Linked DNA regions of Macaca fascicularis. The protein of the gene in region 1 purifies or fractionates together with the protein of each later gene. This does not show direct contact. Links are inferred from orthologs where the notes say so. Each region holds a gene or a part of one and is shown on either strand. Other genes may lie near its edges.

Evidence for each region.
Region 2: the proteins of RNF114 (region 1) and PARP12 purify together in Homo sapiens (affinity purification with mass spectrometry; 3 studies listed by BioGRID and IntAct, counting the BioPlex papers as one, with this or other methods). This does not show direct contact. The link is inferred for Macaca fascicularis from reciprocal best matches to the Homo sapiens genes RNF114 and PARP12.

The regions. Positions count from the first base shown.
Region 1 is NC_088384.1:106,025,574-106,033,914, reverse strand, and holds part of RNF114 (E3 ubiquitin-protein ligase RNF114), read right to left. Parts: intron 7,925-8,341; coding exon 7,774-7,924; intron 4,140-7,773; coding exon 4,033-4,139; intron 3,386-4,032; coding exon 3,271-3,385; intron 632-3,270; coding exon 524-631; intron 1-523. UniProt on the Homo sapiens protein: E3 ubiquitin-protein ligase that promotes the ubiquitination of various substrates. In turn, participates in the regulation of many biological processes including cell cycle, apoptosis, osteoclastogenesis as well as innate or adaptive immunity.
Region 2 is NC_088377.1:181,706,132-181,714,472, forward strand, and holds the end of PARP12 (protein mono-ADP-ribosyltransferase PARP12), read right to left. Parts: intron 7,080-8,341; coding exon 7,004-7,079; intron 5,756-7,003; coding exon 5,625-5,755; intron 4,703-5,624; coding exon 4,551-4,702; intron 3,228-4,550; coding exon 2,902-3,227; 3' UTR 2,085-2,901; downstream 1-2,084. Other genes in the region: TBXAS1 (thromboxane-A synthase), read left to right, coding at 1,182-1,256.

The DNA.
Region 1 (8,341 bases):
TCGAGACCAGCCTGGCCAACATAGTGAAACCCTGTCTCTACTAAAAGTACAAAAATCAACAGGGCATGGTGGCATGCGCCTGTAGTCCCAGCTACTCAGGAGGCTGAGGCAGGAGAATCACTTGAACCCAGGAGGTGGAGGTTGCAGTGAGCTGAGATCATGCCATTGCACTTCAGCCTGGGCGATGGAGTGAGACTCCATCTCAAATAAACAAATAAATGTCACTCTGGCCACCTGCCTGGCCCATGAATAGAAACTGTATAGTAGCTACAGTATACATACTGGAAGCCCATCTAGCTCCCCAGCTACAGCTGCCTGCTCACCTCTTTCACTCAGTCTTCTACCATCCCAGATTTCTCTCTTGACAATCCCCTTTATCACTGTATCCAGTATACAGACTGGAAGCCCATCACAACAGTGACAAAGTTCAACACCGGGGGAGCCCCACTTCCCCTTTTGAGAAGAGTGAAGTAGCCGTGTCATTCCCCCAGGGGAGGGATCAGAGCCTAGGCTCCAGACTTACCACAAAAGTGTCGTAAGAAAACCGGTGCCGGCGTTGGATGTGCTCTCTGAAGTTGGCGCTGCGGTAGTTGGGGTCTCCCCAGGGCATCGAGGCACATATCGGACAAACCTTTCAACACAAAAGCAAGGTCTTAAGCACCCAATTTCCAAGCTTGCACCAGCCCTCTGTAGCCTGTGTCTGGCCTCCTTTCTTCCAGGACAGCTTTCCTGACATACTGTCCAGGGCCAGTAACTCCTTCCTGTGCACATCAGCAGCCCAGAAAACATTGCAAATTTCCTACTCAAGTCAAATGACACGTGGGAGTGGGTAAAGTTCAAATCATGATACCACCCTTTCTCATTCCCTACTGTAGGCAGAGAAGTGAGTCAGCCTGGTGGGGGGCCTAGACTGGCCTTCCAATCCAGCACAGAAGACAATCCAAAAGCACGAGGAAAACTAAGAAAATAAGCCAATGAGCGATGTCCCAGGGAAGTAAAACACAGCCTCACATGCATCTTAACAAAGGAAATACTCAGGTAAGGGGGATGGGGCCAAAAAGCCCTCACGCAACAGGTTGATTTGGGTTTTGAAGATTGGGTATTTGGAAAGGCAAAGAGAACAAGATAGAGTGCTCCAGGCCAGGCACAGTGGCTCATACCTGTAATACCAGCACTTTGGGAGGCCAAAAGCGGTAGATCACCTGAGGTCAGGAGTTTGAGACCAGCCTGGCCAACATGGTGAAACACTTTCTCTACTAAACTTACAAAAATTAGCTGGGCATGGTGGCACACACCTGTAGTCCCAGCTGCTTGGGAGGCTGAGGCATGAGAATTGCTTGAACCCTGGAAGTGGAGGTTGCAGTGAGCCGAGATTGTGCCACTGCACTCCAGCCTCCAGCCTGGGTAACAGAGTGAGACTCTGTCTCAAAAAAAAAAAAATGCTGCTCCAGAAGAGGTAGCAGCACGGAGAAAAGGCCAGAAGGTGGCGGTTACTGTCAACACATGCAAATGACCAGACCAGTGAGCATGGAAAACTCATGCCAGGGAGAGAGATGACCTAAGTGCCCCCACTTAAAGGTGCAACCCTACCCCACAGCAAAGAGGATACAGTGATAAAGGGGACTGACATGAGAGAAATCTGGGATGGTAGAAGACTGAGTGGAAGAGGTGGACAGGCAGCTGTAGCTGGGGAGCTAGAACATAGGACGGGACTAGAGACTGAAAAGGAGATGGCTTCCAAAGGGAAGGGAGAAAAGCAGAGTTAAGAACTTGCAGAGGAAGAGGAAGACAGAACAGAGGGCCAAAGGCTGAAGAGAAAGCCTCAACATAGACAACATAATCAGAGGGATTTCAGAAGCCAAAGGAGGGCAAAAAGACAGAAAATTAGGCTGCCATACCAGAAAAGTTCAGCAATAATAGTATCCAACAAAATTATGAGTGCAAGTAACATTTAACCAAGTCAATCTGTATCTAAGAATTTAGCTTATAAACATACATAAATACAGGCAAAGATATGTTTCTCAAAATGGCCAGTTCTATCTTAAGATGAGCATTGATAGCTGCCCTAGTACTCTCACAAAAGCTCATTAAAATTCTAAAATCTCTGCACCACTGTTTACAGCAATGGAGCTGAAGGCTGCCCATACAACAGAGTATGCAGTTCAAGAGAAGCAGTATGAGATAAATGGAAAAATTAAAACAAAACTATAGAGGAAGTATACACCTAACTATAAAAAAAGACCTAGTCTGTCAATCACATTGAGAGAAAGGTAACGCATTGCTGAGATGGAACAAATACTTTTTTTTTTTTTTTTTTTTGGGAGTTTCGTTCTGTTGCCCAGGCTGGAGTGCAGTGGCATGATCTCAGTTCACTGCAACCTCTGCCTCCCGGGTTCAAGCAATTCTCATGCCTCAGCCTCCCAAGTAGCTGGGATTAAAGGCGCGTACCACCATGCCTGGCTAATTTTTGTATTTTTAGTAGAGATGGGGTTTCACTATGTTAGCCAGGCTGATCTGGAACTCCTGACCTCAAGTGATCCACCCGCCTTGGCCTCCCAAAGTGCTGGGATTACAAGTGTGAGCCACCGTGCCCGGCCTATGTTTTTTTTTTTTTTTTTTAAAAGGAGACTACACATGCCAGTCAGTGATATCTGAGTAAAATGTCCAAGGATTGATAAGCCTTTTCCTAATAATTTCACCTAAATCCTCTTTCCCCACAAATACGAAGAAGTTACTTCCAAAAGCTTCATGGAGAAATTTGGTGGATACCAAGGGATCCAAGTTAATGTTAGCAACAATAGACATCACATGACTTAATGTAGCACCCAGAGAACTCATGTACCATCCCTGCCTCTGCTTTGGGGGGAGGGGAAAATTGCTATGAAGGACATTACCATTGTTAAAATTAAAACATGAATTTTATGTTAGATATTAGATTGTATCAATGTTAAATTTCTTGAATATGATTATACACACAAAAATATAATTTTCCAGGAAAACACTCTTGTTCTTAAGACATACACACTACTGTATCAGGGTGCAAACTATTCAGGGTGCAAAAAAGTCATGGTATCTGTAGCTTATTCCCAAGTGGTCAGCAAAAAGTGTGTATTATAGAGCATGGTTAAGCAAATATGGTAAAATGTTAACAATCTGTGAATCTAGGTGTAGGGCACACAGGAGTTCATTTTACTAATCCCATCATTTTTCTCCAAGCTTGATCCTTTCCCATAATAAAGTTTAAGAGAAAAAAAAAAAGGTTACTCTTACCACAGATTTGGTATCCGTGCTATGGAATAATTTGCAGTGTTCCACAAGTCCTTCCTGATCAAAGTTCTTCTCAGGACAGTAAGGACAAGGAAAGGTGTAACGGTTTGGAACATTCCTGGAAGGTGAAAGACAGGAAAAAAGAACATTTTTCTGTGAGTACCTTTCCATTAAACTTCAACCACAGTACACTCCCAAAAGGAGCAAAGCTCACCGAATGTGTAACGACAAGGACGCTGATGATCACTTTAGACTCAGATCAAGTGTTCTGAAGACAACAGCTCAGCTAGCCGGACATGGTGATTCACACCTGTAATCCCAATAGGCCAAGGCAGGAGGATCACCTGAGGTCAGGAGTTCAAGACTAGCCTGGCCAACATGGCGAAACCCTGTCTCTACTAAAAAATATAAAATTTAGTCAGGATTACTGGCAGGTGCCTGTAATCCCAGCTACTCGGGAGACTGAGGCAGGAGAATCTCTTGAACCCGGGAGGCAGAGATTGCAGTGAGCTGAGATTGCGCGACTGCACTCCAGCCCAGACAACAGAGCGAGACTCCATCTCAAAAAAGAAAAAAAGAATAGCTCAGCTAACATCTGAAGTGAACACCAGAGTCCTCCCTTGCATACTCCTCCCAAAATACTTGTATCAGCTTTAGCCAGCATAACAATTCATACAACTAAACCCCTGACCATGCAAGGTGTCCAACCTCTTTGTATTAATAGCAAGAGATGACCTCCACCTAAGGGGAGACTGAGTCATTTACCTTGGCTGAAGAGATGCATCCTTAATGGTGGCCTTCACACCTTCCATGATGTAATTCTGGTATTTGGAACAAGTAGCCACGTGGGACCGGATCTTGGATAGGAAGAACTCAAATAGGAAGAATCAGAGCCCACAAGTTAGTGAGGACCTTGTAACAGGCCAAATGTAGTCCCAAACAAGGGCGCAAAGAAAACTAGACCTACACCACCCTGGCAAATAATCTCACCAGACTCCTGACTATGCTGATGGGGCTGAAACCCTGATTATTGCAGATTTCCCATTAATAACAAGGCTGCTATTTTATTTGACTAAATCAGGATATCCGCTTCCACTCTAAAATAACTCTTCTAGAGGTTTGCTCCTATTCATGACAGGCTGTGTGCTCACAGACAAGTTCCAAATCTAGGATGTTGTTAAAAGTTTTCTATAGTAGCATTTAAACTAGTCTCCTTATAGCAAACCAAAAACCACGTTCTGTTATGTGCAGCAGAGAAAAGTGATCATTTAGGTAAAACGTATAAAAGCCACCAACCCTGATTAAAGTATCAATCACCAGACTCTGAGAAATAATCTTTAAAATCTAAATTCTTTTTTTTTTTTGAGACGGAGTCTCACTCACTCTGTTGTCCAGACTGAAGTGCAGTGGCACCATCTTGGCTCACTGCAACCTCCGCCTCCCGGGTTCAAGTGATTCTCCCACCTCAGCCTCCTGAGTAGCTGGGGTTACAGGCGTGTGCCATCATGCCCAGCTAATTTCCATATTTTTAGTAGAGATGGAGTTTCACCGTGTTAGCCAGGATGGTCTCGAACTCCTGACCTCAAGTGATATGCCTGCCTTGGCCTCCCAAAGTGCTGGGCTAACAGGTGTGAGCTACCATGCCCAGCCCAACCTTTCACATAAAATCTAGGCTGTGCAATAGTAAAACAGAAAGAGAAGAAAACCCAGAGAATAATGCTTCATTACAGGTTTTCTAAAAAGAAAGAAAGTTTTAAGAATTGAAGAAAAGAGGGAGGAAAGAAAAACATTTTTAGAGGCATGCCAACCATACAATAACTAATCTTGAAAATGGAGAAAAGCAAAAGCACACAGTAAAACAAACAAAAAGCCCATCATGGGTGGAGCGTGGTGGCTCACACCTGTAATCCTGAGGGAGGCTGAGGTGGACCATCACTTTGCACTCCCAAGTTTCAGATCAGCATGGGCAACATGAAAACTCTGTCTCTACTAAAAATACAAAAAAAATTAGGTGGGCGTGGTGACACATGCCTGTGGTGCCAGCTACTTGAGAGGCTGAGGTGGGAGGATGGTTTGAGCCAGGGAGGCAGAGGTTGCAGTGAGCCGAGACCACACCATTGCACTCCAGCCCGGGCAACAAAGTCAGACTCCGTCTCAAAAAACAAAACAAAACCAAACCAAAAACCACATTATGCATGCATAAATAAAGATGAAGAGACCGGGTGCAGTGGCTGACACCTGTAATCCCAGCACTTTGGGAGGCCGAGGTGGGCGGATCACAAGGTCAGGAGATCGAGACCATCCTGGCTAACACGGTGAAACCCTGCCTCTACTAAAAATACAAAACAAAACAAAACAAGAGATATATACATATATATGTATACATATATATATATCTGCGCGTGGTGGCAGGCACCTGTAGTCCCAGCTACTCCAGAGGCTGAGGCAGGAGAATGGTGTGAACCCAACAGGCGGAGTTTGCAGTGAGCCGAGATCATGCCACTGCACTCCAGCCTGGGCGACAGAGTGAGACTCCGTCTCAAAAAAAAAAAAAAAAAAAAAAAGGCAGTAGGAAACTGTAATTCAGTATCTTGAGTTTCTAAAAGTAAACTTCAAAGGGGGAAAAATGCTCCAAGATTGGAGCTCCAGCTTACCATGATGATTGTCTCACCTCCAGTTAAAGAACTTGACTTTAAGCTACAAACTGAGAAATCCCCAATTTTTTTTTTGTAGAAACTGGGTCCACTATATTCCCCAGGCTGCTCTCAAACTCCTGGGCTCAAGCAATCTTCCCACCTCAGCCTCCCAAGGAGCTGGGACTACATGCAGACACCACTACACACAGCTAGTTTTGTTTGTTGGCTTGTTTTGGTATATACAGTGTCCCACTATGCTGCCCAGACTGATTTCGAACTCCTGGGCTCAAGTGATTCTCTTACCTTGGCCTCTCCAAGTGATAGGATTACAGGCATAAGCCACCATGCCCAGCCTCAATAGTGAAGCCCCCAATTAAGATATAGAAAATAGCCCTATTCAGCATTAAAATGGTCCTACTATGCATCGCTAATACTAAATCACCCTGAAAAGGAGATGGTAAGGTATATTCATACTATGGGCATCCATACCGAAGTGTTAAAAATAATGAAACTGACATGCAAGGCTGTCCAATATGTAAGAGGAAAAAAAAACTGAAAGTGAAAAAAAAGTTGGGAATGAATGTACATTTAAACAAGTGAAAAAAGTTGAAGAAACATATATATTATAGTGTGATCTCATTTTGCAAAAATTCTACAACTGGGTTGGTAAACATTCTACAGTTTTTACCAACTTTTGGTAAAAATTTGTCAAAGGGCAGAAAATGTTATGTAGCTTTCGAAACTGAATCACTTTTTTTTTCTTGAGACAAAAAAAAGTCCAGCTCTATCGCCCAGGTTGGAGTGCAGTGGTGAGAACTCAGCTCACTGCAATGTCTGCCCCCTGGGCTCAAGCCATCCTCTCACCTGAGCCTCCCGAATAGCTGAGACTACAGGCACACACCACCATGCCCTGCTAGTTTTTTGTATTTTCAGTAGAGCTGAGGTTTCACCATGTTATCCAGGTTGGTCCAGAACTCCTGGACTCAAGCAATCCACCCACCTCGGCCTCCCAAAATGTTGGGATTACAGGCATGAACTACCTTGCCAGGCCTTAAATTGAACCATTTTAAAATAATCTCTGGAATGAGGAACAAGCCTACATTATTGTGTATTTTTGTATGGTCTGCAATTTAAAAAATTTTAATGATTCTAAAATCAACAAGGCTGTGAATATCTCTTGGAAAATAAGACAACAGTATTTCTCCTTTCCAGTAGCAGTTATAACACGTATGAAAATAAATATACTTGACTCTGATTATACAAGAGCATTTCAAATGTTAGCTATTGTTACTATAATCCAATGATTTCATATTGACTTTTTTTTAAGAGACAGGGTCTTGCTGTCAGCCAGGCTGGAGTGCAGTGGCATGATCATAGATCACTGTAATCCCAAACTCCTGGGCTCAAGTGATCCCTCCGGCCTCTGCCTGCTGAGTAGCTGGGCCTACAGGTACATACCACCACATCCGGCTACTTTTATTTTTTGTAAAGATGAGGTCTCACTATGTTGCCCAGTCTGGTCTCTTAACTCCTAGCCTCAAGCTCTTGTCTTGGACTCCCAAAGAGCTGGGGTTACAGGCATGACCCACCATGCCCGGCCAAAATTGATCTTTTATAGGAAAAAACTGGGATAACTCATTTCTATGGCTTTCAAAGCTAAAATATATACTTAACCAACTCTTAAAAAAAGAAACAAAACCCAGTAGGTTATGAAAACAAACCAGCCCAGCCATCACCACAGGTAACTGGCATGCACGCGTGCTGTTAGTGACCTAGTCATGCTCTAACTTCAGAAACAACATGGTAGCTGTACGTTTTACCCCATCTGATCATGGAAAGACACGGCCTCTTCCACATTACTTCCACATACATTCTTACGGCAGCCATGGCAAGAAGTCTCTGTGCTCTCAATCTGCCGCTCGAGCTCCATGGCTCGGACGCCAGGTGCCAGAGCGCTGCGACACACCCCACAGACAGGCTTCTTCGGCTTCAGACATTCCTGCAGGCATGCAGAGCAAAAGCTAGAACAAGACATACGGAGAACCTCTGTCACGCATCATGGAGACAAGAAAACAAATATGGATCAACTTTTAAAAAGACATCAATGGATAATGGAGTAAAAAACAACTTGCTCTCTCCTCCCAATTCAAATACTAAGTCCTTCCAGGCCAGAAGAATTGAGGGATAGGAGTGGACTACAAAGAACACACAACTACAGAAACAAATGCAAACTCCTGTGATATGCAGTGAAGGTGTTAAGGTTGAGGGTTCAAGCCTTAGGCCCTGCCACCGAGGGATCTCAGTGGGGTTTCTTTTTTTTTTTTTTTGAGGCGGAGTCTCGCTCTGTCACCCAGGCTGGAGTGCAGTGGCCGGATCTCAGCTCACTGCAAGCTCCGCCTCCCAGGTTCACGCCATTCTCCTGCCTCAGCCTCCCGAGT
Region 2 (8,341 bases), on another chromosome or scaffold:
ACACCCTTGTTGCCACCACCTGCCCTTCTCCATTACCTGGCCCCTCTGCAATGCCCAGCCTGGGACTCAGACTCACTGAAGAAAACCATCGGACTCCCTGCCTGTCCCACAATCCCTGACCTCCCCATGGCCACCACCACCATAGAACCTCGGCCTGCAGACAGGCCCAGTGGCGCACTCAGCTCCCTGCCTGGAACACAGCCCCACAACCTGAGCCCTCCCTTGGGACCTCTGGCCCCACTCCCCGGGCCGTCAGCTCCATCCAGCTTCCCTCACCTTCCCCGTTCAGGTGGTCATCACCTTCAGACACAGTGGTAGAGGCCTCCTCATGTGCTGGGGTCACTGGACTCCAGTCCTTCTACTGTGTGAACCCACCAACCTCACCTCTGCTTAAATCCCACTGTTCACATCCAATACCAGCTATCACAGGGCAGGGAACTGTGCCGCCTGGTCCTCCAAAAAACCCTCTTGCTAGATTCCCAACTGGGTCCTCACAAAGATTCTGGCCAATCCCACACACATACACCCATGTTCCAGACCCTGCCACCTCTTGGCACCAAACATCTTGAGAGTCACAATCATTTCGACCCCTTCCCATCACAACGTCCGCCCTTTCTGCACCGGCAGGAACAGCTCCCTCCCCGTCATCAGGCAATCTGGCCACATGGCTCCCACCCTCCCTAGCATTGCTGGTCCAAGGAGTTGCTCTTCCTAACCTGCTTTCTCCCAGGTCACCCAGTCATGGCTGCCGCAGTCTTCACAGCTCAGTGGACTTTTCCAGAGCATTTGAGCACCTCCCACCAGATCCCTCTGGCCGCTCTCCCCATCTACACCCTCAATGAACCAGTTCTGCTCCCCGAATCTCCCCAGCTCCCAGATGATTCAGAAGCATAGGATCAGTTCACTTACATGTGAGCAACAGACGTGATTTAATGGTTTTCTCTGACACCTCTTTGCCCCCTGCCCAACTACACCATAGCAGGACCAATGACTTAATGAAAAAGCAGTGAGTGAAATGGCAGGATCAGTCAGGCTGCGAGGGAAATTTGGCGGGGTTCTGAAAATCATACCACGGATAACCACGTGGCTGACCCAGCTGCTGGGTGAAGCTGCGTTCTTGCTGTTTCTCTGGTCACTTACCTTGGATCTCCTCCAGCTTGACCGTACTTGCCTGTGTTAAGGTTTCAGATCACTCCAAAGATGGAAAAATGGTTCATACTCACCTTGGACCTGAGAAATACAGACAAGCCAACTGAAGCCCAAGCAGCAAGCTGCCAGCAGACACATGTCCTCGGGAAGGTGGAGGCTGGGCAAAAAGCAGGTAGTGAGGACCGAGCAGGGAGGGCTGCCAGCCCCTCTGCCAACAGGACCAGAACCAGCCAATGCCCAGAAGGGAGGCTCCTGTAAACTGCCACATGTCGGGGACACACACAACACACTCTCCACATGCACAGCACATTGCTCAATGGTGAACCTGGGTCTTATGGGGCCTGAAACTTACCTACGAATTGGAGGAAAGAAAAAAAATACGTAATGTTTGCAAATTTTACCAAAACCTATGACCACGTGAGCACATTGCTAGGGCCCCTCCTAGGGCCTGGGGAGGGGCTCCAGCAAGTGAGGGGCCCTGAACCTTCAGCTTCATTGTCTTCATAATAAACCCACACATAGCTCACCAAGCCGTGACATCAGCTCTGTCACAGCCCCGATACGGTCTGAATGTTATGACCCCCAAAATTCCAATGTTGAAATCCTCACCCCTGAGGTGATGGTATTTAAAGTAGAGGTGATGAGACCACCAGGGCGGAGCCCTCATGAATGAGATTCAGTGCCTTATAAAAGAGGCCCTTACACCGTGTGGGGTTACAGTGAGAAGACTGAATCTATGAGGAAACAGGAGGTTGGACTTTCCAGACTCCAAACCTGGGAAATAAACGTCTGCTGTTTATGAGCCGCTCAGTCGATGGTGTTTTGTTACAGCAGCCCAAATGAACAAAGGCAATCCTGACTCTCAGAAAAACGCCTGGCACCCAGCAGGTGCTCAATCAATAGACGCAGACAAATGAGCTTCAGTCTTCATCCACTTTGGATAAATTTTCTTTTATTTCCATACTCTTTTGTGACATGTGTGGCACAGGTATTCGATCTCACGGGGATGTTTATTAAAACCCGCATTCAGAGGGTGTCCAGTGTGCTTAGGAAATGTGGGTTTGGGCACTCACAGGCCAAGTCTGGGGGTCCTCGGGGAAGCTACTCCTCCAGGTCACCTGCCAAGTGGATGTACTTCCTTCGGCAATGGGTGACCCTACCAGGACAAGGGGAACCAGCAGGGACTCGATGGCACCACATAGCAGCCACCTGTTCTGACAATGTGACACAGACCAACTAATGCCAGAGCCCAGGAGAAGCCACAGCAGAGCTGCCTGGGTTGGTGTCAGAGCAACAGGCGGAAGTGACTATGCCACCCCTGGGCTGTCCTCCACCAGTGGCTACTGTGTCATTCTGGTAAAACTATGATGCCATGAGACTCTGAAAAACCGAATCACTGCAGAGACAAACTCATAAAAATTAAAACCAATCCATAAAATTGTATCTAGAAACTCTGTCCCTGGTGCCAATAAGCAGCAAAGTCAACAAAGAGTAAAAACTAAAACTTCAACACATTATTAAAAAGCAAAAACTGGACTCAACTACAATCACTTCTGGTTAGTCCACTAGTGAGCCCAAAAGTGACTTAAAAGTAAAAATCATTATTAGCAATAGATTAATAATATAACTTCATTGAGAGGTCAACATTAAATGAATAGTTCATTAAAAGTTTTCTGTTTAAAAAGAAAAGGAAAGGCCCAAATTGCCATTTCAAGGCAGAGCAGGCGAAAGGCCTGGAACACTCTGGTGCACTCACTGTCGGCTGCTGAACAGGGAGCCCAAGGCCAGCAGGATGGAGGGCGTGACCGAGGGCTTGGAGGAGGTGGTGTACTGGATGAGATACTCCGGGTAGACCTGGTGTTTCTCAAAGATCACAAAGATGGATGGGTCAGACACGCTGTTCACGCAGCTATCATAGAAGGCGTTGCTCCGGCCCTCCTTGGCTGGGGGGCGGACAAAGGAGGCATTGCCCCTGACGAACTCGCCCACCAGCACCCGGGCCAGGAACATTGTGTGGGTCTGTGTGTCGGATTTGCTGTAGTGGTGGGAATACGCAGCATCTCGGGCAAAGTAGCTCCCTGAAATGACACACAAGGGTTCAGCTGGGTGCCTGGTGGAGGGGCCCGCAGCCAGGAAGGGTCAGCCCACTCCGGACAGCGTCCTGGTGATGTGCAAAACCAGGGGCCTCTACTCTTCCACCCTGCATCTCCCTCCCTCCCTCCCTCTGTGCCATGTCTCCACTCTCCCTCATGAAGTCACACGCATCAGTGACACCAACACCCTTCTGAGTGGCAGCATCTGAGGAGTTACTAAACTGAGAGCACAAACTCCTTTCAAGTTCCAGATCTGCCCCACAAAACCTAAAGGCCTCTGGACATGTCACTACTTAATCCCTAAAACCTCAGATTCCTCAGGCATAAAATGGGGCTGTTCAGCCCAACCTCACAGGGTTGTCATGGAAAACGAATGAGATCCCATATGTGGAAGCAGTCTGAAGACTCCGGCAGCCCAATGAATAGAATTATGAGCCTTGTCAAATGGAAACCTGAGTTGGAAGCTGTCACCTATACATTTGAATTCACAAGTCTACCACTGGCTGCTGTCCATCTTGACCCCACGCCATTGCTACCTCAGATGGGAACTGACTGATGGACCTGGAACATGGACTGCTGGGCAGAAAATGTTCTCGACTTGGTAAGCATAATGTGGTTACAGAAGATAATGTCCTGTTCTTGGGATGTGTTAAAGGGTGAAAGGAGACAATATACGCCACCTACCTGAAAATGGTTCAGAAAGAGAGAGAGGGAGAGAGAAAGAGAGAAGTGGCAACATGTTAAAACCAATGAATCCAGGTAAAATGTACCCAAAGAGTTTTTCTTTACTATTATTATTCCAATTTTCTTGAATTTGGAATTATTTCCAAAGAAATAACATTTTAAAACTTTCTTTGGCAAGTTTAAAAATAACTAAGAAGACAAGAAAACACTCAGATAACTCACAGGATAGCTAGAATACATGTTTACGTGAGTATCTCTGAGGGTTTCTGGTTTCTATTCTAAGGAAATCAATAGTAAAGGCACAGTCAGGGACTTGATCAGGGCTGGGAAGGTATCCCCTCTCCTCTTCCATCTCTGTCACCATCTTCCAGGGCCTCTGCTCCACAAGGAAGCAACACACCAGCCTAGGCAGGCCACCCTGCCCACGTCTGGGGTCAAGCTCCTGGTCATGCCCAGAGAAGCAAGAGCAAGGAGGTGGCTGGTAGCCATGCCCAGGTACGACCACACACAGAGTTTGAACCTGCTTATTGGCTCAGGCTGGTCCCCTCATGCCCTCTCGCAGTCTGTTCCTATGCAGGGGCGAAGCAACACGGGTTCTGCTGGTGGAGACCAATCATGACTTACCCTTGCCATAGGAAGTGCCATGAACACCACAGACCCGCCAGTCAAAGTTCTGCTGGCAAATGGCATCCACGAAAATGGCGCTGGTGCCATGGAACAGCTGCCGCTCGTCCACGGCCTTCCCTCCATTCTGCTTCTGCATCTGTCCTTTTTGCCTAGGATCACAGAAGAACGTGTGCAGCGGGAAGAGTGTGCCGGCCACCAAATACAGCCGGCCTGATACAAAACAACACATTTTTCCAAAATTCCAAAAGTGTCCTGAGACCAGGAGATGCAGGTCACAGGCTACCAAGACTAGGCCTGTGAGGCTCCAGCCACAAGCCAGGGTGTGGGAAAGAAGGGGGATCGTGGGAGCGGGGTGAAAACCCTCCCTCCACAGCTCCAGACTGCAGCGGCTCCCTGGACTCCAAAAGCAGAGCAGCCCTTGGAAAACGGGTACCATTTTCCCCAACCCCATCCCCACCTTGCTCCTGGATGGAGCTGAGCCCTGAGATGCTGTAGGAGAGTTTTGAGGCCCCGGTCAGTGGGTGCCCATCCTTCTCCTCTCTGTTCCCAGACTTCATCATTGTGCACAGAGTACAGATGACACTGCCCCAACCCCATGTGGGGACAGGTCAGCAAGACCCAGCCTGCCATGGTGACCTGTTGTAGGATTCCTCCCCACATAGACAAGTGAGTGGGCGTCCAAGGACAAACCAGTCCTCATGCATGAACCTAAGACCCCTGCTCTCCAGCCACAGCCTTGTGTTCCTGGGGCTAAGGGTGTGGTGGGCTGTACTGACCCATCCCACTGGTCTCCGGGAAGGCAGAATGGAGAAGTGAGAGTGCTGGCTTTGCCAGTGCTCATGAACAGGATCAGGTGGTACGCTCTGGGGAGCCTCGGTGCCCTCACCTCTACAGTGGGATGTGCTACCACACTGCCCTGGGGGAGCGGATGACGGACAGCAGACACACAGCTCCCAGCACACGGCAGCCCTGTCACTCTGCTTTTCCTGGAAACCCGGGCCACATGTGGCAATCAGCCAGCAGTGTGAAGGGACAAAGCCACCAGCCCACCAACAGCGAGCCCCAACGCACCACTGGTAGACTTCCCAGAGGGCCAGGTTCTGTACTCGCTCAATCTTCTGAACAAAGTAGAAAGGCAGCGTGCGGTTAAAGAGGTTCCAGACCTTCTGATACTCTTCCGAGGAAGAACTAAGGGTGATCTTCTGCAAGAGGTAAATGTTTTTAATGCATTATCGTCAACGTGCAGAATATAAATCAGTCCCTTCCCAAGGCTTCTTGTAAACATTAGAACTGCAGAAGCACAAATGCCCAGACAGCAGCAACCACACTCCCACCTCCCTGATGACATGGTCTCTCCAGGCACAGGAGACAATCAGTCCTCACGAAACTTCGTTGATAGGTTCTTGGAAACTGCAATTTTAAGTAAAACAACAAACTGCATGCCATAGGAACTTAACTCTTATGTCAGTTAGCATATGGGAAATTGGTTTCATCAGACAATATGTTGTTTCACTTTGAGTCAGTTTCCAAGAACCTACTGATGACGTTGAGGATTTACTATGTTTGCAATTGTAGTCACTTTGCTCCTTATCACTGTGAAACCAATCTAAAGGACAGACATGTAATGCTTAAGCCACCATCCTGGGTATCCCCTGGATGTCCCTGCTCTTCTATTTTTTGTCCCACACAGGCCAAAGACACAGGTTGGATTACATGGTCCAAGGACCACAGAGTTGTTGTCTAGACAAAAGTGTTGAACCCCTTCAGGTTCTCAGCACTTCTTGCCTGCACTGTTGGCATCTGTATGTGCCTTGTACAAGCTCAGTAAGTCCTCCCAGGACAGAGACCATCATGGTGTAAAGCTGAGTTGCACAGTGCTCCGCGGCCAGCCAGCCGGCAGACGTCAGCCCAGGTGCCTCACGCAGACAGGCACCATCAGATGTGAGTCTGCGTACTCTCCTGCACTCAGCACAGCTCCCACTGGTCAGAGCCCCTCAACAAGCTGCCGAACTCACTGTCCATTCTCCTGTCTGCTAGTCGTGAATGTCTTCCCTCCTGACAGTAACCCCCTCCAAATGTCCATCAGACTCAGGTCCTCCCCAGGCTTCTCTTCCTTCTCTCGCTTAGTAAAATTGGTATTTATTGGTTAAGCCCAGCCCAAAAGCTCCTTATTTCTGCCCTTTCTAGCAAATTTCACAGCTCATCCTCCTCCCTCCATAAGGCAACCCCTCCCCTCAGAGCCACAACCATCTCCTGGGCAGTGAAAAAACAAAACCCTCTGCAAAAAAAAAAAAACAAAAACAAAAAGCCCACATCTGTCACTGCCCTCCTGCCCCAATTAGCCCCAGCCTTACAGCTTCTTCAGTGTTGAGGAATAGCACAGTCTGTTCACACATACCCACCTCTACAGAACACGTTCCTGTTCAACCCCAGGCACACGTGTCCCCTACCTGAAAGCCTGGGTCTGGCAGGGCAGAGGAGTCCCAATAGTCTGGGATGCTCTTCGGGCCTGGAAACTTGGTATTGCTACAAAAATGTAAACAAAAACACGTAGACATTTTATTCTTACACAAAGCAAATCTACCATAGGTGGTCTCTGCTAGCCAATATCACCAGTCTTCAGTCTCAGCGTATCATATTTTAAGAGCAGGTAGAAGGCAAGGAAGAATGTTAACATAATACTCACAACATGAGAGCACTTTTATCTTTGCCTATGTAGCCAAACAGTCCTGAGAGATCTATTTCTCGCCTGTGTCCCAACTACCACACAAAAGGGACAAAAGGGATGGAGTATGTGGTTAAAACAGTACACACAGGGCCATAAACCTTTATCCACAATTCTGAAATTCTAAGAGCTCTAAAGACATTTTTTTAAGGCCTCAATGAGGTATAATTGACATTTAAAAACTGTTTTTATACAGCTCAGGAAAACCAGGAGAAAAAATGAAATAAAACATTTTTTAAAAAACCTAAGTGACATCAAAACTCATGTGGCAATAGAAATTTGACTGAAGTTAGTAAGAGGCCATTGTGGTCTGTATCTATCCTTCTTAAACTGACTATGCATATTCTTTACTGCAGAAATACTAATGTGCTAAAATATAAAGTGTCACGTGATACAAGCATCACATTATCTTTCTAAAAATAAATAAATAAATAAAAGCGGTTCAAAAGACATATGGCTCAAGGGTTCAGACACAAGGACTGTGAAACTATAATTACAAATCATTCCTATTAAATTTCAGAATACACTGTTCTTTCTAAATAGATCTACCTTCTGTTTCTGCTGGCATGAAACATATACCTTCATCCTGAGCCTCAAAGCACTCCCACAAATAACTTTCCTTGGAAAATGGCACAGTTCAAAAATAACTAAGCAAGGTCCTACCAGCAGCAAGAATCAGCCAAAAACAGACCCACAAAGACTTATGATGCTGAAATTATCAGACAGATTAAAAACAATTATTCCTCCTAGGTTTAAAGAAAAAAAAAAGACAAACTTTAAAAACATATGTAAAGAACAGAAAACTATAAAAAGACCTGGAAGATCTAAAAAAGAACCAAATAGAACTTACAGAAATTATAAGTACAATCCTTAATAATAAAAGTGCAGTGGACAGGCTTAACAGCAGATTAGACCAGCTGGAGGGAGAATCAGTAAGCTGAAAGATATGTGAAATGCAATTGTCCAGAATGTGACCCACAGCAACAAGGAAATGGAAAATGCAGGAAGGAAGTTGAGACATGGAGAACAGTGAGAACTGGAATATAATCAGAACCTCAGTGAA